Linked DNA regions of Mus musculus: regions 1, 2, 3, 4, 6 and 7 are each reported to be linked to region 5. Evidence: microRNA targets listed by miRTarBase, many of them from high-throughput screens and not tested one by one. Region 5 holds a microRNA gene; each other region holds the end of a gene's coding sequence.
What was found. The annotated mature microRNA mmu-miR-467f reads AUAUACACACACACACCUACA and lies in region 5 at 978-998, opposite strand. An mRNA with a match to its seed (bases 2 to 7 or 8) in the 3' UTR can be bound and repressed. Matches are read on the target gene's strand: a 7mer-m8 pairs with bases 2 to 8, a 7mer-A1 pairs with bases 2 to 7 and ends in A, and an 8mer does both.

Region 1 (4,301 bases), not on the chromosome of region 5:
CTGTCCCTGCATGAGGGCGCATGCCCAGATCTGCTCTGTGAAGTGCCTCTCACTCTGGCTTCTGTTCTACTGCCTGCTTCTTCTCCTCCAGGCTTGCTCTGGCCTCTGCACAGTTTTTTGGTTTTGGGGGTTTTGTTTGTTTGTTTGTTTTGTTTTTGTTTTGTTTTGTTTTATGTTTTTTTTTCTTTAGAATCTCATGGGTGGGAATCAAGGGAGCTAGGAACATTGTGGAGGCAGATTCTGATCTTGCCTTGTCTCCAGTCCAAAAATGGACGCTCTGAGCATCTCTCAGGGAGTTCTTGGATTTCCCCCACAGGGACGTGGATGCAGTGCTATCTCGGGCCAATGCTACAGAATTTGGCCTGGCCTCTGGTGTCTTCACTCGGGATATCAACAAGGCCCTGTATGTCAGTGACAAACTGCAGGCGGGCACTGTGTTTGTCAACACATACAACAAGACCGATGTGGCCGCACCTTTTGGAGGATTCAAGCAGTCTGGATTTGGCAAAGACCTGGGTAACGAAACCCTGTCTGTGGGACTGCTTTCCAGCAAACACCTGTCAAAGGCCACCAAGGGCCAGGTCTTGTCCCCAATACTGGGGTGTCACACTGATCAACACAGCTGGTGGCTGGTCAGTTCTAGCTGGGAGGGAACACTCTTGGGACTGATGTACTTGCTGAGACAGCAGTGGAAAGGATATGTATGTATAACATATTCTAGTCACAGGAGGACAGGAGGATAAGTTCTTGGCTGCCAATAGCCAGTAGGGCATCCATACCACCTCCTCTACCATCAATGTAGCAGGGAAGATTCTAGAATGGTTGCCCCAGATCATTCTCCTGCCTGCACTGGTGCCCGAGCCCACAGCTTACTACAGGGATGGCCTGGGTTGGGTGCATGATTTCCTCAGGGCTTGGTTTCTCATCTGTAGAGAGCCAGGCTACTCACAGGTGTGTTCCCCGGAGGGGTCCCCTGCACACCCATAAGGTGTCCCAACAGTGGGTGCTATCTTGCAGGAGAGGCGGCCCTGAATGAGTACCTGCGGATCAAGACTGTGACTTTTGAGTACTGAAGCCAAGACTGTGATACTTCTCCTGTACCCTGTTGACCTCAGGGAGTGCTGACCCTGTCTGGTGACTTAGCACCCTCCTGTCCCCAGCACTGCTCCTTTCAGCTGCTGGAGCTCTTGGCCTGGACCCCTGCTGGTGACAGGACACCCTCTGAACAATCAGAAGTGGCTCCAAGTGGAGTGAGCAGTCATGTCCCCCATGAATAAAAATTGTGAGCAGAGGTCGCCTACACTTTGTGTCACTGCTCTGTCTATGGATGCCTCGTATGGAACCAGAGGCAGTGGTCACCATGAGTCCTGAGCATGTAGCATCACTTGGCCTTCAGAGAACGAGACCCCTTAGTGGGACACAGGAGGAAATGCACATCACACACCTCCAAAAGCAGAATGGGTACAAGAGGCTGTGGAAGAGGGTGCGCCCCAGAAACAGGAAATGAGACTTGGGGAGTGAGCCTTGGGCCATCAAGCACCCCAGTCTCCTCTGCCAGGACCCGGGTTCTCACTCAGTGGACTTGGACAGCCACAATGGTAGCCTGGGGTCTACAGCAGGGACTCCACCCAGCCTGACATTTCCCTGGACAGCACTCCCATCTTCTACCATCTGCATTTCTTTTTATCTTACACCACCCCAGCCTGGAGCACAGCCCCTGCAAGGCTTCTGACTCCTATGCACTCACCCGTGGGTGCCCAAGGCCCTCTCCTCTGTACCTTCTTCATTCTGGAGGTCCCACATACCACATCTCAACAGATTTGCTATTGCCTTGGTTTACCCAACATTCTCTTCTTGGCATGCCAACCACTACCACCTTTCTTTGGCTCTGCCTCTCTTGGTCCAAAATTCTTTAAAGGCCTTTCTGTTCTTCTCTAACTCCCCTGGCCAGGCAGGCAGTGACCTGGATCAGTCGCAAAGATTTCAGGCCTATGTAGTATCCCGGACTTCCTCCGCATCCCTGCCCTTCTCTTAAGTGGGGCACATGCCTCAGAGTAACATTTTCGTCAGTGAGAAGCCACATACCTAATATTGATTCCAGAGTAGCAAATCTGAGAATTCCTACCACCTATGACGTCACAACTGATGTGATGTATGATGTCACAAGCGATGTGACATAAACACTTCATCCTGTATACGTGATGGGGCCGTGTAAACCCCACCACATGGCTGTTGGAATAGGAAACTGGGTGGTCACAGTGACACTGTCACTGGCCATGTGTCCACTAAGTGATAATCGGTGTATATGGTTTTTTAAAAAATATTTATTTTATTATTTTTTTTGTCTCTGTGTTTGTGTTTATGTGCACGTGCACGCAGGTACCAGAAGAGATCAGAAGAGGATATAAAAGATATCAAATCAGGGTTACAGGGAGTTGAAGGCTGACAGATTTGGGTGGTGGGAATCAAACTCAGGTCACCTACAAAAGCAGCAAGCTCTTAACTCCTGAGCCGTTTCTCTAGTCCATTAGTGGAGTGTGTGTGTGTGTGTGTGTGTGTGTGTGTGTGTGTGCTGAAACCAGTTACAGTGTTATACCTGCAGCAACCTTATCTGTCTGGTGTGTGTGCAAGATGTCCCTAGTAGATCATGTTCAGTGAGTGACCTTGACCATCTAGATTATGAGAGTTTACTCTGCTGTGACGTGCACAGTGACATTGCCTGACAGCAAAGCTCTTGGACCTTATCCCAGTACCAAGATGACATGGGGCAGTAGATTGTGTGACTCCCACATGTGAACACTGGTAGTAGCAATGGTAACCACAATAGCTTGTCGAATGTTGCGTGCCATGCAGGCTTCTAAATCCTCTCCACACATTTGTACTGCACATGCTGTAGTCCAGTGAAGGACTAGCCCACTGAAGCACAGAGGCCAGCTTGCTCAGGGACCTGCGGCTGCTACGAAGCTCCTTTTCTCCTCCCAAACCAAGAGACCCTTGAAGCCCTTGATGCGAAGTGACACAGAAACCCGGGTCCTGAGTCTCTGGGAATATCTCTGAAGCCTTCACTTTCAGGCCACAGCTATAGGACACCAGTTCCTAATGGGAGATCCAGACCATGCCCTCTACATGAAAGCTCTATTCCATATAGAGGGTAAAGTGGGCTGCTCCCCAGGGCTCCCTGCACCTAGGCTGCAGCCTCTCAGAGGTCTTCTTACAGGTGTCTGTGAGGTTTGTTCTTGGTCTGTGTGTGTGTGTGTGTGTGTGTGTGTGTGTGTGTGTGTGTGTGTGTGTGTGTGTGTGTGTTGGGTGGCAGGGTGCACATCCGGCCTTTCTTCCTGATGCCCGTGGAAGGGAAAGATGTGTGTTTACTTCCACTGCCCATTTTAAGGCAGGATAAGGATGTAGCACTGTAACACTAAACCCCACTCTGTCATTCCCAACGGCCACCTCCCTCCTTTTCCAGAACCTTTTCATCTTGTAAAGCTTAGGGATTTTTCTGCCTTTAAACACAGGCTTTTCATTCTCAGGTAAGGCAAGCTGAGTCTGTGAGCCCAGGGTTCACGTTCAGCTGGGCTGGAAATAGAAACATCCCACAGTCTGCACCCTTTACCACATGCCCACAGCCAGCTAAAGGGGGGGTAGCTCAGTGGGGGAGCAGTCATGCTGGTGTGTGGGGCTCTGGGTTCTAGCCTCTTCACCTGTGTTTGCACATACACGTTAGTAATCTGCAGTTGTTATTCTACGCATTGTATGTATCTTGCATGTGCTCCATGTAACATTTAAAATATGCCACAAGGTTTGGCCTCCGTTCTGACATTTCTTCATTTCACATCTGCTGCGCCCCCCTCCCCACCACCACCAATGAGATCATTCAGGCCCTTTGCAAGGTCCCAAGGAGAAAGATTTGGGTCCTGTGAGGAGACCCTGTGCTCTGGCTCTCCCAGCTGCCCTGGGATAACCCCCGCCCCTTGCCAGCTCCTCCTCGTGTGCAGTCAGCTAAACCTATCTTTAGCATCAGGTCAGTTTCCTCAAGGCATCAGGTCAGTCCTGAGAGGAGGGGGTTTTAAGCTCCCTGGGTGCTGTCCCTGAGGACTGCAGCAAATCAGGTCTGCAGACGGCAGCAGAACTTACATGCAAGCTGTCCCCACTGTGGCCCCACAGGCCGATCAGCTGCTCCTGGCTCCCACCGTCCTCCTCCAGACAGAACAGCAACAGTGCTGAGGCCACCGCAGAGTCCACACTGACAAGTGCTGTAAGTCGTTGTCTCTGAAAGTCAGTCCAGTGTCAGCTCAGGACCTGTA
Region 2 (4,301 bases), not on the chromosome of region 5:
CTCCATCCTTGGGAAAGGCACGTCTTCTTGGCAAGAGAGAGGAGACACTTCCCTGAGCACCTACAAACAAATCAGCGAATCATTAACCGACTCATGGTGACAACGGGCACCTTTGTCCCTCTCCTCCCGCACGCACGTCTTTACTTGGTTTTTCTTTGGGGCTAGGATTCTGGGTTGTTTCGGTGCCTGTCAGGTTTGCTTCTCACTCCTCACTCCACCTGCCAGAGCTTGGTTGGGCTCTGTGGGCCGAGCTCTCAGTTTCTTGCCCCCTCTTTGTCCTGTGAACTTTCTGTGCGATTTAGGGAGTGCCTTGCTGGGGCAGTTAGTGAACTCTGCATCAGAGAAAGGATTGCAACGGAAAACGCAACCTTCACAGGAAGCACAAAACTTGCTTCTTAAACTACAGCTGGGTTTACGGTCCCAGCAATAAATCACTGAGTTTGTGGCTTAAATTTCCTGGCCTTCATAAAAACAAAAGCAAACCACAATTTCATTAAGAGTGCCCTCTTCTTCAGCCTAGGAGAAGGGAGGGACCAGGAATAAACACCCGGGAGGGGCTTTGCTGAGCTTCTCTCAGACAACCCCTCTCCCATCCCAATTTAGAAACTGGAGGTTGCTATTGCCTGGTGGCCAGAGTCAGTCACTCCCCACTGCTTCTGCGCCTCCCAATCCTGCCTGTTAATGTCTCTCATCTCAGCCTGAGGCGCCGGTGCCCTGTAAGGTGAAACTGGCCAACTTCCTCTACAGGCTGAGCTAGCCCAGAGGCTGGCAAAAGGTCACAGCAGGCGTCACCCCCAGGGATCTGCAGACAAAGGAACTGACAGCTGGCTGGTCTCATTGGTGTCAACTCAGAAGGACTGGGTAGTGTGGCCACTTCTCCCCCTCTTCCAGTTTTCCCAAGGTGCTTTTAGCACCCTACCCCAATCTTTCCAGCAAAACCTTCTAGCATGGTACGGGACTCTGAACCCGGCAAGGAACAGACAGTGATTTCCAAATCAGGTCCTGAGGATCCAGGAAACAAGTTTAGCTTAAAGGAAACCACTGCTGATCTGTATTTGAAACCCAGAATCCAGTCAGTGTGCTGGCAGGCCCCAGGCCCCAGGCCACACTGCCTTACTTCCTCCATATCTGGGGGCCTCACAGACATGGCTGCTCTCTGGATACATTTACCAGTTTTCCAGTCTGTTCTGTCCTAGGTGTGGTTCCTGTGCTCTCATTCACGCTAGGACAAGATAGATGGCAATGTTTATTTCTGACCCCTGTGAGACAGTCTCATGTTCTGCGTGCGTGTGTGTGTGTGTGTGTGTGTGTGTGTGTGTGCATGAGCGTGCATGTGTGTGTAAAACCTGCCAGTGTGTGTGTGTGTGTGTGTGTGTGCAAATTTGCTAGTCTGGCAAGAATGAATATATTCTAAAGGGACACCCGCGATCCTCTTTGACTATAGACTATGGAAACAACCAATCTCAGAAAGTTAAAATTTCCCCAGGAGACCCCAGGAGGAGAAGGAAAAGGCTGAAGCCCTGGGGTGGGGGTGGGGGATGGAGAGGGAGGGAGGAGAGGGCTGGAGGAGGAGTTTACTGGAGAGAGCATCACTGCTCCTAGGAGAGACTTGGAGCTGAGGTAGAGGTGAGCAGGGAACCGCCCCTGGGCTGAACTGCTTGGCTATGCAGTCCTGTTTTCGACTTGAAGGACCTTGAAGGCAGCCTGTGGGAGGCAGGAGAGACTCTTGAATCTTTCTCCCTCTTCCCAGTGTGGCCACATGGAAGAATCTGTTTTTTAATATTAATTTGGCTCTTTTAATTGGCTTATGAAAGACTGGAGGTCAAACCTGGTTTGCTAGGGCAGAGGCTGTGAACTGATCATATGTGCACACCAATGTATTCCTGCCTATATGAGTTTGCAGTATGAATGTTCACGAACACAGAGTCGTGTGTGAGAGTATATCTGGACACGTGTGTGGGCATTCATAGTGTACACTGTCTTCCAGCTGCTTACAAAGACGCAGCCCTTGTAGAGAGCGTTGTCAGCGAGCTGCACTTGAAGTTTAGAATCAAAAGCTTTTCTAAAATGTAATATTTTTTTATTAAATTGGGAAAAGAAAGGTACAATACAGATGACTATCAGTCAATCATATGGTACTTGGCAATTCCATCTTAATGGATTCACAGTCCAATTCAGTTCTCTGTACAAGAATTAAAAAAAAAAAACCACCTCAAGTATTCGCATAATCTGTCAATTTTTATTAACTGGGTTAGGGGAGGGTTTTTATCAGAGCACATTATGAAAACATTAGGACATTACAGACAGGCGTGAGATAAGCGTCAGACCGAACAGATGAAGCAAGTCCCTCAGCCATCTGAGAAACATTAATAATGAAATAGTGCAGAAACAAATCTTTGTTAGGGGTACCGGATGCAAAGGGAAAAAGCAGAGATCCTGGCGCCCCCTTGTGTTGCAAAATGAACCTGCACCTTTATTTCATTTTGCTGTTTCCCTTTTGAAGTTGGGAATTCATGCCCTTGTCCCTGTGCCCCAGAAGTAATTGTTTCCCCAAATCCTAGCAAGCCCTCTCCAGCAAATCACTTCCCCATTCACTGATAACTTCCAAGGACCCTATTTGAAAACCAATTCTTGCCCATTCTTCTTTACAGCCCACACATCCTGTTCCAAAAGTTGGCAGACGCCCAGCGTAGATGCCTGCCCTGAGTCCTCCTTCCCCCAAGTGTGAAATGAAATAAACCAGTCTTCCCTTCCCCTCTTCAGGCTTAGAGGATGTGGCAAGAGTGGCTACAAATCCAGATATTCTTTGTCTCATAAGCACTTTTCTTCTGCATCTTACTGGATACCTGCCATTTTTTCATAACTTAACACAAATGCCTTTATCTACCTACTTCCTCCCCCACCTGGCACTCACCAGCTCCCTTGGATCAACTGGTCAACCTGCTAAGCCATTTTTACACTTAAATGCCAGGAAAGACTGGACCAGAGACGTAAATAATACACCTCGATCTACAACAATTCAGGTTGAAGTTGTAGGCAGAATTTCATTGGCTGACCAGAAGAAGAAGAAGAAAAATATATACACAGTGTGGGTCTGGACAGTAGATGGAGTGGGAGGAGAACCCAGTGGGAACTGGGTGATTTTGTTTACTTGGATTTTCCAACTGGTCCGATGGAGACCGGGTCCGTTTGCACCTGAGCATCCGACATCCGCTTTGGTCCCTGGAGAAAAACATAAAGCAGCCAGCGTGAGGCCAACAGCAGCGAGGGGGACTTATCACGTGCTTATTCTACGTAAATATGACAGTGCTCATGGGCGGATGTCTAGCTTTAATACCTAGCGACGTTGCTTCCTGGGTTTGTGAAATCCTAGACACATTATGATTTGATTTTAAAATGGGAGTGCTCAAACCCAACTCTGAGAGGTGCTCCCAGATAAAGTGTGCTCAAAGTGTGACACATATTAGAGCAGTCCTGGGGTCGGGGGTCAGGGGTCAGAGGCCAGGGTGGGACTTGCTATTCTAGTTCATTCTACATCCCTAGCCACTGTCAATAGCTCATTCTTTCAGGTTCTAACAAAATGGTGCCCTGATTTGTTCCCCAGCACTATCTGAAGTGACCTTACTCTGTTTGACCTGACATCCTCCTCCTCTGTGGGTTCAGTCTGCTGCCTCCTCGGGACCATTCGAGTGCCCCGGCATGTGGAGGTTGCACCTCACTACTGTCCCAGTGTGGCAGGTGGATGCGTGCAGTCTTGCACCACTACTGTCTCACCCTTTCCCCCACGGGTTGCTGTTGGTCATGGTGTTTATCACAGCAATAGAAAGCAAACTGCAACAGAATTGCAGCTGTTACCATGACCTCAATTTGACAACGGGGGAAACTGAGGCACGAAGGGGTTGGGTTGAGTGACTCAGCCAAGGACACAGAGCTAGGAGGCAGCCAGAGCAGAACTGCAGTGGAGTGGCTTGGCAGCATAGGTGTTTGGTCTTGCTCTCCTCCACGCTGTCCCTGCTACTATTTAGATCATCCTGTCCCCCACACCTGGCATCTTCATCCTTCCTGCCTCTATCCTTGGGCTCCAGGACAGCCTGTGTGTCTGCTGCTCTCTGTGCCTAGAACAGTGCCTGGTACCCAGCAGATGCTGGAGAGTCATTTGTTCATCAGGTTTCCGGTGAGCTCCCACTTTGGAGTTGAATACCACACCCCTTAACCAAGAACCGAGAAAGAAGCCTCGAACACCCCATCTGCTTACCAGGCCCTTCAGGAAGCCCCCGAGGGACTGTCGCCGCTTCTCAGAC
Region 3 (3,000 bases), not on the chromosome of region 5:
GACAGATAACGAGAGATTGGTTCCTAATGACGGTGCAGACTTTCCAGAGCACAGCTCCTATGGGAGAAATTCTCTGGAAGATAATTCCTGGGTATTCCCAAGCCCTCCTAAATCAAGTGAGACAGCATTTGGTGAAAATAAAAGCAAAATCTTACCTTTATCCAACCTGCCGCCACTGCATTACCTGGATCAACAGAATCAGAACTGCCTTTACAAAAGTTAATTTCACTTGTGATTTGATCAGGAAGACACGGACTCAGGGGTTCTCCCAAGAGATTGTTCAAACTGAAAGTGGACTTTGATTGATGGCTTGTGCAGTTCTCCAGTATGTACATTTGTACATTCTGTATAACATTATATATGTAATTGATTTTCCAGTATGGGAACCTCCAGTTGTACCTTTGATAACAATTATACATTTTTGCTTCTTGGATAGAGTGGAAATGAAAATTTTAGGCATGGTTTTATAAAGTATGTGACCTGCCTAAATATCCAATCATTAAATAAAAAGCAGCCTTTAGTATAAAAGAAAAAACATGTCTGCTGGTTTAGATTGTATCAAGAAGCAAGTAAGAGTAGGTTGAGCTTCTGTAAATTCCTGATACATAAAGATTTGAAATATAATGGAATAAAAGTAGGTTATGACATCTCTATGCTATTGTTTCAAGTTTTAAGATTTAAAATCATTTTTAAGTAAAATGTTTGTATATACAAATTTAAAGTGCAATTTGAATTCTAAGACTTGAATTAATGACTATTGAAGCCAACTTTTTCCCAGTATATTTAAATCCTAAATAGTTAAAAATGATGTGGTATGTGAATAAACTATTATAACCTTATACAATGTCCAGTTAAAAGAAGAAAGAGCATCTCACAGGGCAGTCTCTTCAGTGATGTGTAGTGAACCTCCCGTGTGGTCATTTTCAGCAGGACAGCTATTTGTTTTACACAGAGCAGCTTACACACTGTTAGATATGACATTTGAGAAAGTAAATGCTAATTAGCTGCATCTAGAACTAAATCTTGTGCTGTACAATTGTGAAATATCCCAACTCATTCTAAGTGCCCAATCACTTGTAAATAAGTAAAGAAATAACAAAGATGGCTTCATGTGGAAATTCATCTAAATTTTTTCAAGGTGGAAGCATTAAGAGTATTAGTAATCATGTATTACCTGTTTGATGTAAGAAGACTTTATCCTTTTCTAAGTGCCATTTCATGTATCTTGAATTCAGAGGATCTCTGACCTTGTATCACTGAATAGAATGCATAGCCAGGCACTGTTCACTGTTGAGTTATCTCAGTCACTTACTCATGCCTGTCCGTGATTAATGGAATTGATGTCAGATACTGGAATGTGTTCTGACCAATGAACACAGCTGACTCGAGGGAGTACAGGCTCCTGCCAAGTAATACAACAAGACCCAATATGCATAAAACAAATACACAAGCCCAGGCTCTAGCTGAAGGCACTAACTGACTGTGTAATAAGAAAGCAAACGCAGTTCTCGTGTGACTGCGGAGGCTGTCCATCATCTTAGGACTGATGTAGCTTAATGGTTTGCTTTTTTTCAAACCAAGATGAGAAGTTTTCTTTTGTAAAGAGAGTCTTATAATGTTTTTGAACAATGCCAAGAAATTGTTTTAATTAAAATTATTTTTGTTTTTAAAATGGAATTGGATGTGAAATACTGTCCTTGCCTATGTATATTTCCAAAGTCTGGTATTAATTTTATTTCTCCAACATACTCTGAATGGAGGGAATCCCCTCTAACTAGTAGTAACCGTTATCAAAAAGGATTGCTAGAACAGTCTGATGGGTGTTAACAGTCAAAGTGTTAAAAGCTTGTGTAAGACTCCTTAGCTAGAAAAGAGAAACCCTAAAATATTCTTACCTGGTCAGAAAATGTTTAAATATATACTTAGTCAATGGTAACAGCTGTATTTTGTGATTCATTAAAATTGACAGTCCCGTTGGTCCTTTTCATACTAGCTGACAACCCCAACAAGCTTCCCTAAATCTAATTAAGCTCACCTGTAACTCATTAATATTAGGACACAACCGACAGTAGCCACATGCTCCTTCCTCTTGGTCCTTTATTGTATTGAGCCAACGCCAAAATAGAACTGCCCCATGAACCTGTAAAAACCGGGGATCCAAAGACACATCTGCAGCAGGTACACTAGTCAGGCAAGCGGTGAATGGGAACACAGTTTATCTAGTACCTACTGGTTTCGAGACACACAACAGAAATCTTGTTACTATGTCACTGGCTTCTTGTAGTAACTGTACCTTTTCTTTGAGTCACTGAAAACAACTGTAGCCCTGTCCAATAGAAATGTGCCAGTGCCAACAAGGCCAGCGCAGAGATAATGGGCTGCTTGGCCTTTCCCCGTGCTGCAGTATCTTCCTGAGTTTGCTCTGCTTGGCCTCCAGTCACCTTCTGTTGATCTGTGCTTTGGGAGAATGGGTTCTTTGAGTTTCAAACAAAAGTAAAGTAGTTCTTTGGTGAGTACACTGTGAAGCTTGAACATGCATTCATTGACTAGGTTCATTTCATTTGAATGAGAAATTTTTTTCATAGGATTGGAGCCAAAGTTAAATCTTGCCTTCCTGGTTTTTTTAAAATAGTTTTTAATATAAAAAGCTCAGACTAGGGTAACACACTAAAAGAGAAACTTACCACAGTTCCTCCCAAACCCCCAATATCACAAAACAGAAGTTCACACTAACAATGCCAACTTCTTAAAATCCAAGATTATACAGTATTTTCAGTAGCCAAGTTCAAAAGATCAAGAAACAATGCAGAAACTTTTCTGTCAAAGGTTTCAGTAAAATAATTCACCAAATCTCATCTGTTTTCACATAAGCCTCTGATGGCAGTGCTGGCTAAGTTATCGCCGTAAGAGACTGCTGGCCACAGTGGCTGGCACACTAAGGGGTAGAGTGAAGAAGGCTCTGGTTCACTGCTGCCGTTAGCAGTGTTGAAGGCGCTCCAT
Region 4 (4,301 bases), not on the chromosome of region 5:
GTTGTCTGTGCTCTGTAAGCAACACTGACATTTGAAGTGGACTGTTGGAAAAGGAAGGAGACCAGCTAGGGGAAGAAAGAGCAAGAGAAAGTAGTAGAAGTGGTTATGGTTAAAAGACATATACACGTGAAAATGTTAGAACTCATTGTGTTTAATTTGTATGTTATGAATGTTTTAAAACAAAGTAAAATTAAAGAAAGATAGCTTTGGGATTTTTTTTTTTTAATAAATATAGAATGGTCTAAGCACAGAGTGCTGGTAAAGCCCACATAGTGCACAGATCTGTCCTCAGCCTTCACAGCCACTCCGCAGTGCTCCCTGACCCGGAGAGACTTGCAGCTCCGCACACCCGACTCAGAGTGCCCCACGCAGGTGGGACATTGCTTGGTTTTTACAGCAAGTTCTTCCTGCGCTTCCCAGCTCAGAGATGTTCATGTGCGCAAACCCTTTGCCCAGCACCTACAGTGCTGAGAGCAGAAGCAGGCTGCACCGAGCTGCAGCCCAGCCTGGGAGCAGCTGAGCAGCTGTGAGACAGTTCTCAAGCTGAACTTGCCATTGGAAATGTGGGATGTATCCTTCCTACTGCTTCTGAACACCTCAGAAACAGAGGGCTAAGAACTGCATGCAATACAAACTACATGCACACACAATCAAAAATGTCATTCCAGTCTCAGATACCATGCCAAAGCGCTCTCAGTAATAGTGACCAGTCGTTTACTACAGAATGTGTTGTCACTTGAGGAGCCTTGTTCTGCTGAGAAGAGTACGCCGAGGTGCATCTGATTGTAACAGAGTGTTTTGTCTCTGGTCCCTCCTAGCATTACAACACCTCCCTGCTAGCCGCAGCTGCAGCGGCGGTCTCAGATGACCAGGACCTCCTGCACTCCTCCCGGTTTTTCCCGTATACCTCCTCGCAGATGTTTCTCGACCAGCTAAGTGCAGGAGGGAGCACATCTCTGCCAGCCACCAACGGAAGCAGTAGCGGCAGCAACAGCAGCCTTGTGTCTTCCAACAGTCTGAGAGAGAGCCATGGCCATGGTGTGGCCAGCAGGAGCAGCGCAGACACAGCGTCCATCTTTGGCATCATACCAGACATTATCTCATTGGACTGACGCTCTCACCCTGCTGCTCCCACCCCATCCCAGATTAAATGACTTGGCAGAAGAGAACTCTATGCTCTGTTTTACCTTATCCTGTTTAGAAAAGTATACAAGCGTGGTTTTTTTTTTCCTTTTTTTTAGGGAAAAAAAAATTAAAAGAAATGTACAGAGAACAAAACTATATTTTCAGTTTTACTTTTGTATATAAATCTAAGACTGCCTGTCTGATAAAACACTTGTTTAAAAAAAAAAAAAAGAAAAAAGAAAAAGAAAAAACAAGCACCCACAAACCTTCAGTTCATTTTTTCTGGATTCTGAAGACTTCACCATTTGTCCTGTGGTTTGGGTTTTATTTTACTTCAATGGCATTATCTTTCTTGCAATAACGGAAACAATTGCATGTATGAGGTTTAAATTGTGGGCTTTGTTGTGGGGATGGGTTTGGGATAGCTTTGATTTCCATTTTTTAAAAGTGACAGACTTGGATTCTGTTTGTGTGTGCGTAGATTTTACCAGCCTTAAGTTATGAGCCTCGTCTATCTTACTGCATACCCTTTGTTTTCAAGACAGAGCTTGTGTGCGTGAGTGCGTGCGCGCGTGCGCGCAAGAGCGCCTGTGTACCTGTATGTGCTGTTCTGTCGTCACTCGCCCCTCCTCCTCAGTTTGCATTTGGTTATTATCACTCTTGTGTGAGCATCTTTCTCAACTCTCCCTAGGTGCATGTTCTCCATCCCAGATCCTCTGTGATCTGCTGTCTACCCTCTACGAGTGTGTTTCCCAGAAGTGCTGGAGCAAACGCTGCTTGGATGCGCAGTCTGTGGGCAGGCCCTCGAATGACAATACACTTCTGTTGATTCTAAGTCTGAATTGCCAGTATTCTGTATGTAATCCAAGGCTGTGAGCACTTGCATTTTGGCAACAGGGTAACAAGTTTTCCTTGAGGATCTTCATACCAAAATGGGATGTGAAAGAACCCCCGTAGCCCCGTGGGGTGTGGAGCTGGCAGAGGTCGTTCCGTTCCACCGAAAGAAAAGAAGGAAGGAAGGAAGGAAAGAAAGAATCGGTTATCCTAAAGTTAACAGTACAGCACAGCCCACATGTGGATCCATACCAAATCTATCTGATAAATAGTTGAAACTCAAAAATAACCTTAGTTATTTTGGTTTTCTGTCTCCGAGTATACTTCCTTTCTTAGCCGTGTTCTTTTTTCCTTCACCTTTAGTGAAAGCATGACATAGGAAGCCTTTTTTTTTTTAAATTCAAGAACCAATTGGTCTCACCTACTCTCAATAGCAGAATATGTAAATATATTAAAATTTGTTTCAGGAGGTGATTAAGGGTCAAAGGAAGGAAAAAATACTTCTCATACTTGAGAGTCCGCAGAGAAGAAAGCATGCTCTGACAGTGGGAGATAGATGGCAACTGATGGAGGATGCAGGTGTAACTGCAGAGAGCCAGGGCACACCATCACCAGCTCCTGCACTGGCTTTTATGTCCCACCTTCATGTTTTCAGAGTTGTGGAAGGACCATCTTTGTGTGTGGTAAACTTGTTTTCAAGCCTTGCATCCATAACAGAAGGACCGGTAGGTATTAATCCAGGTAGAAGTCATGATGACTGTGTCTTCAGTTGTATAATAAAGGAAGTGGTTCACATGACAGCGTGGCATCTAAAAATAATATCTATTTTATAGTCTCTCTGCTACTAAAATGTCGACTTGAATTTTTGAAAAAAGTTGGTGTTGATATGTATATGTGTGTGTGTGTGTATATATATATGTATTTATAAACAAGTGCGTGTGAGTAACATCATCGTCTTCCCCTACGCATGTGTGTTCCACACAGAAACGGCTGTGTTAGAGTCACAAAACAATTCGCAATAAAACAAGACATTTGTTATCAGTTAAAACCAGAAATAGTTATGTTTTTAAATTCATCTGGTGTTATGAATACAGGTTCTACCATCTCTCATTACTGTATTAATTTAGACTCACTTCAGATAACCATAATTTGTCTAAATTGGGATTATAGTGGAAATCACTGAAATTTTGAGGTGTTTCTATTAACATAGCAATAGGAAACATTATTTTAACTGAGGTAAAATGAATAGTTTTCTTTGTTCTTGGTTTTGTTTGGGTGTTTTTGGTTTGGTTTGGTCTGGTTTTGGTTACTGTTAGTAGTTTTAGGATACTGATGCATAGTTTTTTGTGTCTGATGCTGAATTACAAACTTAAAATAATCCAGTTTAAACCAGCTCTCTGCATTCTTCATGCCAGCTATAGAGGGGTCACTTTCCTTCGGTGTCCTGCCTTGTACCAGCCTAAGGGGAGAGCCGGTAACTGGAGGAATAGATGCCCTGTGGCTTTGGTCATGTCCCCACGGGAGAACAAGCCGTTTGGTTGTCTGTATGTTTTAGTTCCTTCCATTTACTGAGGAGTTCACTTCTTCAGTGTTGACGTTCTAAAATGTTGCATGTGGTCAAGTTCAGTCAGAGACTTTCACAACCCTGAATAATTATTAGAGCCACACACCACTTTATCTCCTGCATTAAAAGAAAAAGCGCATGGTCACTTTGTCCCGTTGTTGTCGTTTTTCCTTAGGCCGACCTCACTCCCCAGCCCTGCCAACCTTGATTAATAGGCTGTGGACAGATAATGTTCTCAGCATCTTTGATTCAGCAAGCTGCCAGGAGCTCCTTCCTTAGTCTCTCCCTCTGGCATGTGTTCTCTACAGTATCGTGTGTGTGCTCCCGTCTTTCTGTAAGCACACACCATCAATAAAGTAGCCATTCAGCCAGGAGGGTAGAGGTGGCTTTTAATTTACCATGTGGGCATTACTGGACACATTTTTTTAAATATGAAACTTAACCATGCATACTTTGTTGAGTATTGAAGTTGTTCCACTGCTAATTTAGATGTTACACATCTACATTACTGACTTCAAGAATCACTAAAGGTTTGAAAAATGTGGGTTCTTTTGGTGGCGGTGGTGGTGGTGGTATATTTTTTTTGTCGTTGTTGCTTTTTGTTTTATTCTTTTTTTCAGCCAATTTTCCTTTTGAGACAAGTCTGTGAAACCGAATGAAAATATGCCCTAATTGTAAATGAATAAATGTAGAAAGAACCTAGTTTTTAAAGCAGTTTCAATTTTAAATACATGAAACTTTCAGAATCTTCAGGACTCTTAAAGCACATTTGAATTTA
Region 5 (3,000 bases):
ACCCCATCTTCTGTATCTGTCCTGAGTCTATTCTGGATCCCACGCCCCAGATATTTTCTTCTTCTGATCAGTGGGGTTCTGAACATCTTTTGACTTTTATGAGTGGAATTGTCCCGGACACGTTTGGTCCCTCTCTTACTCTTCATCCTGGAGAGAAAGAGGAATTTCCATAGCATGAGATGGGTGAGAAGAGCCCCTTTTTCTTCAGGTTTCCTCAGGTTGTCTGTCCCCCTACCCTAGTAGAACTTCTACTTTCTTATGCCCTTGGAAATAACTTTCTCTGACTCTACTATGAAATTGTATCTTTTTTGTAGCTGAAAAAAGACTTAGGTTTGCCCTACCCCTGTAGATGGTTCCTACCCTCACTTCAACTGATATGCTAGTTATCCATTATAAAGGCCAGGCCATTTTTTTCCCTTTTCTGATCAAGTTCTTTACCCAGTGCCTATGGGTGCACATACCTATTAGCTTTAATGCAGCTTCTCAACTAAGTCTCGGTCTTTTTAGCTTGGTATTTCTGTATTCCTGTGTATCCTTGATGATGTCTACCTGTCTAGTCTGTGTATAGCTGAAGAAGGCTCCTAGCTGATTCTGTCACTTTCCTAACTCTTGGTACTTTTTCTTCAGACCAGAACAGTGTCTCTAACATTTCTGTTTTCTGTAGCAAAAGTCTTTAATTCTTTTGGCTTCTGAGAGGACACATTAATGTTTTAATATCTATTTCACCCACATTTGTATTACCTTTGTTAAAACAGTCTCCTCAGGCTGGGTATGGTGGTACATACTCTAACCCTAGTACTTAGAAGGCTAAAGTAGGATTGTTGAAGTTCAAAACCAGCATGGGGAATGGAATCCAGTCTAAAACAACCCAAACAAACCCAAAAAGTACTCTTTATTATGCTCTCTTTTCCTCGATATGTTAGTCTTCATCTGTATCCTTCTAACATCAAAATGTTAAAAATTCCAAAAAAGCTGTGTGTAGGTGTGTGTGTGTATATACATACATACACACACACACACCTACACACACACCCACCCCCGTTCGATTTCTGGGTACAGGATTTCTCTATGTAGCCGTGGCTGCCCTGAACTCAAACTCTGTGGGATAGGTCTGCCTTTGTTGAGTGCTGGGATTAAAAGCATCCACAACTACTCTTAGTTTGAAAAGTGGTTCTTAAATTGAGTATGAGATCAAGATAAGATATTTGCATTTGGTTTAAGGAAGCTCAGGAGCCATGCACAGCTGGGACAGATGAGTGCTCAGTTCCAATTAACTGTATGACATGGTTGGGCTGGGACATGAATTCTGTTACACATATGGGTATCCAACAGAAAGTCTCTCTTTTATCCTTTTATTCTGTGGGCCAGAGCAGTGATAGATTTGAGGGAAGCAGGGACAGGATTCTTTGATAGTATAGAGTTAATAAAAGCCAAATATTGAGTGTAGATTTTGTATTCTGGCCACTTCAGCACTTTCTGCTCCATGACTGAGTTAAAGACATTGCCTAAGTGTAATGTAGATACTTACCTATTCAAACCTTGCTGATTAATATTTATGACTCAGCAAACTTTGGTGTGAGTAAGGGATACTAACTTTTTAGATCTTTTACGTTTGGGGAGATTCTTTTCTCCTCTCACAAAACTGTTTTACTGTGATTTTTCTAGAGCCAGTAAATATCAGATCTGAGGTCTAAGTTATTTTAGAATTATCCTATCAAACTTGGCTTTTCTGTCAGGATGTGATGTGTTTTGTTAAGGTGGTTTCAGGTGGCTTGGGCTTTTAACCCGGGATGACCTTGGACTCCTGGTTTACTGTGGCCTTTCCTAAGACCTGGGATTACAGGTGCACACCATCAACCCCAGCTTCATAATGTGTTTTGTTTTGTTTTTGTTTGTTTTTTGAAACAAGGTTTTTCTGTGTAGCCCTGGCTGTCCTGTAACTCATTCTGTAGACCAGGCTAGCCTCAAACTCAGAAACCCGCCTGCCTCTGTCTTTTGTTGTTTTTTTTTGGGGTGGGGGGCAGGATATCCTGTGTTGCCCTGGAACTCACTCTGTAGGCTAGGCTGGCCTTGGAAGGTTTAGGCCACCACCAACCTGTTAAGATGGGGTCTTATTGTATAGCCTTGCTTTGTTGATAAGGCTAACCTTGAACTTGAGGTCTCATCTTAGCCTTCCACTGAAGTACATCCTCAGCCAGGTAGCCCTCCTCCGATCTCTTCCTTCTTTCTTCCTTTCCCTTTCCCTTCCTCCCTTCTTTCATTTTTAAAAACATTTCTCCCCATATAGAGACAGGATTTTTATACTTTGATAGCTCAGGTTACTCTGAAACTTAGCACGTAGCCTAAGCTGACCTCCAATTCTTAGACCCTCCTGCCTCAGGCTCCCCCCAAACAGCCAAAGCAGGTCGTATCTGAAGCAATATTCAGGGTTAGATGTTCTCATTATAAGGAAAGAATAGTTTTGTAAGTGGTGACTGGCCAGGTCTGTGAGGTGGGAACTCTGTATTCTCTAGAATATTATTGGTACATTTTCTCCTAAGCTCTGCCACTATCCTAGTTACTGTACTTAGGGCTGGTCCTTGAATATTGTTAGCCTTTTTTTTGAAGCATCTGGCTTTCTTACTGCTTTTGATGTTGAGGATTGAAATCAGGGCTTTATACTTGCTAGGCACACATCACACGGAACTATATTCTAGCCAAACCCCCCTTATCTAATCTATCTAGTGTTTTTTTTTTTTTTTTTTTTTTTTTCTTCCAGAATAGGGTTTCTCTGTAGCCCTGGCTGTCCTGGAACTCACTCTGTAGACCATGCTGGCTTGGTTAGAGATCTGCCTGCCTCTGCGTGTTGGGATTAAAAAAACCACCACCTGGCAGCTATTATTTTTCCTTTCTTCCTTCCTTCTTATCTATCTTCCTTCCTTCTCTATCTCTGTCTATCTGGCAACTTATTATTTCTTTCTATCCATCCACCTATCTATGAGACACTGTCTATATATTTCT
Region 6 (4,301 bases), not on the chromosome of region 5:
CAACAACTCTCTTAAGAAGTCGTGCTCCGTACTGCCAGCACGTGTCCCTCTAGGCAGCCTTCCATGAACTCTCCCCAGAAAAGTGCATGGGAGTGAGCGCCTTCCCAACGCCTCAGGTGCATCATTTCCTTGAAGCATGCGGGTCTAACTAGGAAGGGTAATTTTAGAAGGGTAATTTAATGGAGGACACGCGGACAAGAGGAGTTGACTTCATACTGGTGACCAAATCTGACCAGTCCTAAACTATGCCAGTCAAGTTTGTTTCCTGTTTTTTGTTTGTTTGTTTGCTTGTTCTTTTCTTCCTTCTTTAGCACTGGGCTCTCAGCTCATCTTTCAGCAACTCAGACGAGAGCCAGGTAACATACCTGCCATGAAGTCTGCTCCTGACCAGACAGGCCCTGCACGGTGCACACATGCACGCCCCGAGACGACCATGCTCAACCAGAAATGTAGCCTCTGCCCGGGTAACAACGCCAACTATCTTATGAAACCAGCACATTACCACTCTCGACATGGGTGCATCCAGGATACTTCTAACCCAGGACTCTGGAGAGCTGTGCCCCACAGCCCCAGGTCCAGTCAAGGGCCGCTTTTCATGGATTCACATCGGCACAGTCTGACTTGTCACAGGTCACACTACCCTAGTGATTCAGAAAGGAAACACTCTACTGCTATATGACAGGAGGTCAAAGAACCATTTATTCGCAGGCCAAGAATGGCGGTGAGCTCTCCAGGAGCCTCAATAACCTGTCTGCTCAGTCACTTCCTGCTTCTTGGAGAATAGCTCATCTCTCTTTTCAGTCACAACATGCTTTTTCGTAGTGAGAATGTCAGGTGAAATCTGACAGGGACACCCTTCCAGGGCCACTTGCCGGCAGCAGCCCATTTGTGGCAGTGGCTTAGTTTGTAGAGATGATTTAATCCACAGGATGCAAGGAAGGACCAGGAAAGGGGGGGCCTGGACAGCTTTAGAAGGGTTTAGTTTAGGGTCTGGCCTAGCCAGCATCAGCTCTGAATATGACTTATGTCAGTGTAGTGACCCACGAGGGACTAAAGGGCCATAGGAGACCCATGCCTTCCTCTTCCTCAGAGGAGGCACACATAATTTGGTAAGAGAAGGACCCTGGCCACCGGGCCAGCATCTCAGAGCACTGACTATTCCTGCTCAACACTCCAGGCTCCCAGGGCACTGGGAAGACAGCTTCCGCTCACAGTCGGGCGCAGCAGCCCTGAGAGCTTAATCCAGGGTGGACATGAAGCCTGAACAAAGGCTGGCTCTTAAGCTAACTTTTAGATTTGAAAATGGGGGGGGGGGAGATATTACTTGATATATGTGTGGTAATTTTTTTATTTTTTGAAATTCATGTTGTAATATACACTGTATCAATAAATGTCAAGGGCTAGTTAAGCTAAGAAGCTATGGAACATGTTTGTCTCAAACGTATCCTCCATGGCCCTTTGTCTGGGGATGTGTGCCCCTTCCCTGACTTTATGACAAATGACAAAACACTTTGATAATCCAAGAGTCAAAATACATCGCTTGAAACAGCTGGGAAGTAATTTATTCCCAGACACCTTTCCAAGGTCAGAGGGCTCGCTACAGCCTGTCCTTGCTACCCAAGCGCCTGCAGAGGGAGAGGGAGAAAACCCTGCTGACCGACCGATGGTAGCAGCCCCCCAGCTCGTTTCTGGGGTGTCGTGAGCACCGAACTAAATGATGTTGTTTTTAGTGCTGCTCTTTGTTCTCTTATGTGGATTCCTGACCTGAGGGGACACTTGTGCTCTGCCCAGGACTCTCAGTGGGAGCTCCAGCTGACGAGGTAAGGGGGTTAATGCTGGTTCTCTGAATTCCCAATCCAGTTTTCTGTCTCTACTTATTACTTAACAATTGCCCACTCAAATCCCTAACCACGGCTCCTGTAGGCCATTCTTCCATGGTAACACACATATTACCTAGCTTGGACAGGCAAGAACTTAGTTACCCACAGTACTCATTCCTCATATTCAGTCTTTTTTTTTGGGGGGGGGGGGCTGGGGAGATACAGTACCAGACAGAAGGCCTTGGGCTTGCTAGACAAGCACTCTGTCTGCCACTGAGCCACACCCTGTGCCCAGCAACACTAACTCTCTGCTGTAGATCCCTGAGTCCTGGGCAGAGATGACACCACACACCCACACCTGTCCAGCCAGGTTAACAACACGTGGAAGGCTCCTCAGCCCAGGCTGCTCCCGAGGTGATGCTGGGCTGTGGCTGTGAACACAAAGCAGTGAAGGGTGCTGCTTCAGACAGCAGCAGTACCTTAGAACTGGACCAGACCTCGGCAAGTCTCGAAAGCCAAAGGGGACCCTCAGAGCCAAAGCACAAGGGAAAGACAGAGTGTAGGAAACCGAGTTCCAGAGACAGAGTCATTCCTGGTCACAGGTCTGAGAGCATTTGGGGGAAGAAACACCCAAAGTTATCCCCTGGGTCTGAGAGAAAACTCTACAAGGGAAAGGGCAGACAGTATGGTGCATCCAGACGGAGGCTGAGCACGCTGAGAGCGGTCACTGAGGGACTCAGGACGCCTGTGCCCAGCCAGGAAACTGATAACCAACAGCTTTTTAGAAAGTAAGAAGAAAAAGCACACATTTTCATAAATAGAAAAATTGTTTACAAAACAATTACCTGGACAGTTCACTGGGTACTAGACTGAAGAGAACGGCCCATGTTTTTGTCTTCCATCGAACACCCCAACACTCTCCACTACCTGCCATTTCTTCCAGCCTTATCCACACCACCCCGTTTCTCCTGAAGACTGATTTGCTTAGCAACTGCACTGAGCCAACCCTGAAGACACATGATTATTGGTTGGGCTCCATTAAACAACAAGCCTAGTGCTTGGGAAGGGGGGTGGGGAGGGGAAGAGACGTGAGAAGCATGTTGGCGTAGACCTTGAGGCATGGATGAAGCATCTGCCGGCCTGACCTGGTACAGGGTGGGCATCTGCACTGCAGCAAGGGCTGCAGGTAAACTGAGGTAAGGAAGAACATGGTGACCTTTCTGCCCAGCTTCTGGGCCAGCACAGCAGTGTGTGCTCTGGGCTGTGGGCACCGAAGGACTGGGCTTCTTGCAGTTGCTGCCGGCATTTCTCCCTCTGGTGAGAAGAAGAGTCCCAGAAGACCAGCCACTTGTCTTCCTCTGAGGTACAAATCCAACAGAGCCTTAGCCCCAAGGATCTAGCACCCACTAGGGTGCAGTAGTCTAAATCAATGCTCAGATCAATAGGTGTGGTACACCTGCCCAATCCGTTCATCAGCAGTCGTATCGAAAGATCAGAGAAAACAGCAGTTAGTCCAAACTGTCAAGGTGGGTTTCCCATCTTCCTCCAGAGATCATAATTCCTCATGCTTCTGAGAGCCTGGGGGAAGAACACAGACCGTGAGACTTACGTCATAAAACAGCGTGTGACACTGCCCCCAGCACAGCACTGTAGCTTCAGATGGTCTGTAGAAGCTTGGTGTTGGCTATTTCTGTATTAAGGGTTGAAAGCGAACCTAAGAGAAGAAGACATTTTTAGCTCTAAGAACTGACACGCCCTTGGGCTATACACGGCCTCCACCAGGGCAGCGCTGGCTCTCGGGGTCTCCAGCAGGGCAGAGCTGGCTCTGGGCCACACACTGCTGTGTGCAGAAATCTTCTGCACTTACACATTCTTTCTGTGAGCCAGGGCAGCTGTTCTTTGATCCTTAAACTGTTTTAAGGTTGCTGATCGGTACGTAACAGTAAAGTACATCTCTCCGTGTGTATTGCTTTTCCTGGAGTTATCTAAGATGCAGCCTCAGTAGAGGCATTCTTGCACAATGCACTTGCACTTTACCATGACTGTGTGCACATGCTATGGTGTGCATGCGTGCTCACAGCAGCTCTGTGGAGTGAGTTCTCTCCTTTGCTCTGACAAGAGACGTGGGAATGAGGACTCGTGTCATGAAGTAAGCACTTCTCCTGCTGAGCCACCTCTCTGGCCCATTGGTGCAGCATTTTCAAGGCTCCTTGTAAGAGACCTGCTGCTTTTAAAGCAAGGCTTTCCAGACACATGGACAGTTTCGGCAAGGCTCACTCACCAGTCTCACCCCTGCCCCCTAATGCATTGCACTACCACTCCACCTGTATTTTTTTGACATATCAGATATTAATGGTGACTCTAATTTCATCACTGTATCCTTATTCCTCATATATGGCTCTTCTTTTGAATAGTCTGTTCATATTCTTTGTCCATTTATCTATAAGTAATTACATAATGAATTTAACTTCTTAAAACAGT
Region 7 (4,301 bases), not on the chromosome of region 5:
GGACTGCCACCACCATCCCTTAAACACCAGGAAGACTCATGATCCAGTCTCCCACTCCTTCCAACCTGCCTAGGTTCCATGCCTTCCTGCTCTACCTGGGCTACACCCCACAGGCAGCAAGGGATGTACGCATCATGCAGTTCTGCCACACACTGAGAGAGTTTGCCCTTGAGTATCGGACTTGTCGGGAACGGGTACTGCAGCAGCAGCAGAAGCGGGCTACATACCGTGAGCGCAACAAGACCCGTGGTCGCATGATTACCGAGGTGAGTGCCCACCCCCTTGCAGGGCTTGCCTGCCACCTCATGGTTCCTTCCCCTTGCTCTTAACCACCCTTCTTTCCCTGTCTAGACAGAGAAGTTCTCAGGTGTGGCTGGGGAGGCCCCCAATAACCTGTCTGTCCCAGTGGCTGTGGGCAGCGGGCCAGGTCAGGGTGATACTGACAATCATGCCAGCATGAAGAGCCTGCTTACCAGCAGGCCGGAAGATGCCACACACAGCCGACGCAGCAGAGGTAGGGCTCACAGCTGCTGCTAGGGGAATGTGTTCTAAAGCCACCTTTGTCTGATTTCCCTCTGCTCTCTCCCTTAGGTATGGTCCAGAGCAGTTCCCCCGTCTCACACACAGCAGTGGGGCCCTCCGCTGCATCCCCTGAGGAGACTGCAGCCTCCGGCTTACCCACCGACACGTCAGATGAGATAATGGACCTGCTGGTGCAGTCAGTTACCAAGAGCGGTCCTAGAGCCTTAGCTGCTCGGGAGAGGAAGCGCTCTCGTGGCAACCGAAAGTCCTGTGAGCATCCCCTTACTAAGCTGCAAGATGTTCCCCATACCTCCCCTTGCCCCCTCTCCCGCCCCTGTAACCCTGCTCTGTCCCTGCAGTGAGACGGACACTGAAGAGTGGACTTGGAGATGACCTGGTGCAGGCACTGGGACTAAGCAAAGCTCCTGGTCTAGAGGTGTGAGGTGCTACCACGCCTGGACATGACAGCGACATGCACAAGAGATGGAGTGCGGAAAGGGCCTGGAACAGAAACCTGGTTTCAGAAGCTTATACCCAGAAACCAGTATTGTGAACAGTATTAGGTGTGTGTGTGTGTGTGTGTGTGTGTGTGTGTGTGTGTGTGTATACACGTACATGTATTTTGCATGTGTGAGTTCCTTATTTGGAACAAAATAAAGTTTACCTAGCTAATCTATAAGAGCCTTTCTCTTCTTTAAAGATCTCTGCCTTGCTGAGCCAAGACAGGAGCATCCCGAGACTAAAATTCTTTCTGCTTCGTGCATCATCACCCACACGGCCGTTAGCCACATTCGAAACTATTTATTTAGTGATCCTATAATCCAGGCTGCTTTGGCCCTTAAACTAGGCCCTCACTGCTCCAGGCATGGGGCCACGCAGCATAACAGAGCCAACCAGTGCCCAGCAGCCTACAGCCTCAGTTAAGGATGCTATAACCTTTTCATCTGCCGCCGCTCCTGTCGGCGTTGTCGTTTCTCATTGAGCTCTGGTGCAGGGGCTCCACTGTCTGCTGTGAACCAGGGGCCCAGCACGTTTACCCACAAAAGGTAAAGGGCCCGGCCTGGAGCCTAGGAGAGAAAAGACCACGTGAGGCCACTCGCAAAGACTGGTGAGCAGTGGGGAGGCCCAGCACTCCAGCCCACGTACCAGAAGCCAGAAGGACCAGATGTAGAGGGAGAAACAGCTGAGCACCTGAACAATGGCTGTCAGTAGGATCACATCCTTAAGGTGCCTGCGGGATAAAGGGAGGCTGCCAAGGATGGTATGTTGGCCCTAAGGCCTGCCCCTTCCACACTGTTTAGTTGTGAGTCTTGGGCTGTGTGGGCCCCAGCGCCCCAGCCCTGGGGCCGCTCACCTGAGCTGGCGATGGGGGACACTCACTCTGCCATGCCCTGCTCCATGTTGAGGTCCATGCCACCATCCATCAAGGACCCATCCTCAGAGAAGGATGCCCGAGCCATCGAGCTCATAGAGTGGTAGCTGGCCCCGTACACGGCCAAGCTAAAGCCCAGGGCCATCTGTAGGACAAGAGTGAGAATGTCACAGGCTGGCACCACTGACCATTCATGCACGGGCGCGCGCGTGCACACTCCTTTCCCAGGATACTTACCCAGGCCCAGAATGAGGCAGAGGAATAGAAGAAGACCAAGGTTACAAGGCAGTAGATGGCCTGCAAGCACACAAACACGATCAGGTTAGGGCTGAAGGCCAGCCCCCCACCCCGCAAATTATGGGCTTTCCTCAACTCTGACCGAGAACTGGGCCAGACTAGGAGGAAGAAACCTGGTGGTGGAAGACCTCTGCTTTCTGAGTCAGATAGCGCTTAGACTCATATCTGTCCAGGAAGAGTAGCCTTAGTATAACATGTATAAGCTTGGTATGGCCTCAGTATAACAAATCTCAGCTGGGACTTTTTATTTATTTATTGTTGTTTTGCTTTGTTTCCCCTTCATTTCTTCATGTTTTGCTTCTATGTCTAGTTCATATTTCTTCTGTGCCTGGCTACTTTTTTTTTTTAAATGGTTTAAAATTAAAATACATTTTACATGTATGAGTGTTTTTGCCTGCAATGTATCTATGTGCACCATGTGCCTGACGCTGTGCCTGGTACCATAGAGGTCACAAGAGGGCATTGGATCCACTCAATGAGAAGGTTTCGAGCTACCATGTGGTGCCCCTGGAGTGGAACCGAGGTCCTCTGTAAGAGCGACAAGTGCTCTGACCACTCAGTCCCTGGATACTTTGGGGGGAGGAGGGCAGTGTTTGCTGGCGATGCTGGCAGAGCCTAGCCAAGGGCTCCACCACGGCGCTACACCTGCTCTCACTCTCTCGAATGAGACTTCAGTCTTTCTGTGGGGCTCTGGTTACCACTCAACACTCTGACCTCAGTCTTCCAAATAGCTAGAAATACAGTTATATGCCACTATGGCCAGCTTCACTTATTAACCCCATCACCCCTTTTTATTTTTATTTTTAATTTTTTTTTTTGAGATAGGATTTCTTTGTTACTCAAAGCTAACTTCAAACCGCCCATCTTTCTGCCTGAGCCTCCCTGGTGCAGGGATTACAGGCTGGTGTCTGCCTGGCTTCATTTCTTTACAACGTTCTCTTTTGGAGCCTTGGCTGTCATTTGCCAGCGCTCCTAATCAGATAGGAATGAGAGGGCAGAGAAAGCACAAGGCAAGCAACTTACGTTGGCTCCCAGTATGATCCGAAGGTAAAACTTGAGAGTTTCTTTGTTCTCTTCAAATATCTGTTTCTTCCCTCTGGTACCCACTTTTCCTTTGGGCTGCGGAGGGTTGGTGAGATGCTGTCAGAGCTGTTTTGCCTCAGTCCTCCTCACTCCCTGTACCAGCCTGGTTACCTGCAGCTTTATCTACCCCGCAGCCAAGTCCTTAGCGTGCTTTGTCAACCCTAGCAATCCCTGAGATACCGACCACTCCTCTAGTCCATCTTCCTAATATAGTTAGGACACCGACTTTACTGTACCCCCAGTTATGATCGCCTAATGCTCACCCCAAAACAATTCAAATTACGTTAGTATCTTCTTTGGCTTTCCTCGTAAGGTTCAGCTTTGGGTTGAGATCCTCTCCGGGAAAACTCCAGCGGAACTTAATGGCGTCCCTCTGGGGTAGTGGTTTAGATCTGGAACTGGCAACTACCCTCGCCCGCGCCCGCCCTAGCCTCCAACACTAGTCCTGGTGTAGTCCTGCACGGCCACTCTCCCCGCATCCCGTTCGGTCTAGCACAGTCCATTGGGTGGCGCCCCTCTCTGGCCCAGTGCCTTATGCCTTCGAGCCCTTCTGTTTTTACTTTCCCAACATCGGGAAAGCTTTGCCGGTGCAGACCACGCCTTGTCCCTTACCGCCATGGTGCGCAGCAGACACCCAGCCACTGAAACAAGGGCGAGTAACTGGAACTGCAGTCAGTAGACACCACATCGGCAGCACATGCACTTCCGGTAAAGAGCGCAATCGTTCGCTCCTGGGCGGAAGTGGATTTCATTTCCTTCCGAAGCCCCGCCCCCTGAGTCGGTGGGACTACACTTCCCAGAAAACCTTGCGTGGGGGCGGAGACGGCAGAACTGCGATGGCGGACTCGCTGCCTCTGGAGGTGAGAGGAAGCGAGCGGTCCTTCAGGCCTTGGTCGGGGACAGGCCCCGCCTTCGGGGTCCCGAGCTTTGGGGAAAGGCTATCTGACAGCTCGCCCGGCACCTCCCGCCAGGCGGAAACGAGCCGCCCGGCGGATCCCACGACCTGAAAACTCTGGGTAACGGTCCT

Region 1: the mRNA of Aldh1l1 is a reported target of mmu-miR-467f. The part of its 3' UTR that is shown has no 7-base or 8-base seed match.
Region 2: the mRNA of Bcas1 is a reported target of mmu-miR-467f. Seed matches in the 3' UTR shown: 7mer-m8 at 3,079-3,085.
Region 3: miRTarBase lists Azi2 as a target of mmu-miR-467f. Seed matches in the 3' UTR shown: 7mer-A1 at 346-352.
Region 4: miRTarBase lists Pias1 as a target of mmu-miR-467f. Seed matches in the 3' UTR shown: 7mer-A1 at 2,730-2,736 and 7mer-m8 at 2,864-2,870.
Region 6: the mRNA of Uggt1 is a reported target of mmu-miR-467f. Seed matches in the 3' UTR shown: 7mer-m8 at 1,373-1,379.
Region 7: the mRNA of Fhod1 is a reported target of mmu-miR-467f. Seed matches in the 3' UTR shown: 7mer-m8 at 1,124-1,130.

The regions. Positions count from the first base shown.
Region 1 is chr6:90,597,870-90,602,170 of GRCm38, forward strand. Aldh1l1 (aldehyde dehydrogenase 1 family, member L1) reads left to right here. Exons shown (of 23, transcript NM_027406.2): 22 at 317-516; 23 at 1,018-1,302. The coding sequence ends at 1,073. Gm15756 (predicted gene 15756) reads right to left here and starts at 2,071. Exons shown (of 2, transcript NR_157234.1): 1 at 1,748-2,071.
Region 2 is chr2:170,344,927-170,349,227 of GRCm38, forward strand. Bcas1 (breast carcinoma amplified sequence 1) reads right to left here. Exons shown (of 13, transcript NM_029815.2): 12 at 4,256-4,301; 13 at 2,065-3,222. The coding sequence ends at 3,148. Among named protein-coding and RNA genes, the nearest start is that of Bcas1os2, 9.3 kb to the right of the region's middle.
Region 3 is chr9:118,061,904-118,064,903 of GRCm38, forward strand. It overlaps Azi2 (5-azacytidine induced gene 2), which reads left to right. Exons shown (of 8, transcript NM_013727.4): 8 at 1-3,000. The coding sequence ends at 223. Cmc1 (COX assembly mitochondrial protein 1) reads right to left here. Exons shown (of 4, transcript NM_026442.3): 4 at 2,619-3,000. Among named protein-coding and RNA genes, the nearest start is that of Gm51660, 10 kb to the right of the region's middle.
Region 4 is chr9:62,878,779-62,883,079 of GRCm38, reverse strand. It overlaps Pias1 (protein inhibitor of activated STAT 1), which reads left to right. Exons shown (of 14, transcript NM_019663.3): 14 at 819-3,003. The coding sequence ends at 1,112. Among named protein-coding and RNA genes, the nearest start is that of Calml4, 23 kb to the right of the region's middle.
Region 5 is chr11:69,634,442-69,637,441 of GRCm38, forward strand. It overlaps Mir467f (microRNA 467f), which reads right to left and starts at 1,078; the gene lies at 959-1,078. All of the region lies in intron 1 of Fxr2 (fragile X mental retardation, autosomal homolog 2), which reads left to right.
Region 6 is chr1:36,140,854-36,145,154 of GRCm38, forward strand. It overlaps Uggt1 (UDP-glucose glycoprotein glucosyltransferase 1), which reads right to left. Exons shown (of 41, transcript NM_198899.2): 41 at 1-3,398. The coding sequence ends at 3,373. It overlaps Mir6897 (microRNA 6897), which reads right to left and starts at 3,460; the gene lies at 3,399-3,460.
Region 7 is chr8:105,326,060-105,330,360 of GRCm38, reverse strand. It overlaps Fhod1 (formin homology 2 domain containing 1), which reads left to right. Exons shown (of 22, transcript NM_177699.4): 19 at 74-266; 20 at 352-514; 21 at 592-792; 22 at 882-1,201. The coding sequence ends at 964. It overlaps Tmem208 (transmembrane protein 208), which reads right to left and starts at 3,984. Exons shown (of 6, transcript NM_025486.3): 1 at 3,887-3,984; 2 at 3,215-3,310; 3 at 2,132-2,191; 4 at 1,903-2,039; 5 at 1,669-1,753; 6 at 1,304-1,589. The coding sequence starts at 3,892. The coding sequence ends at 1,452. Lrrc29 (leucine rich repeat containing 29) reads left to right here and starts at 4,093. Exons shown (of 7, transcript NM_001368408.1): 1 at 4,093-4,134. The coding sequence starts at 4,111.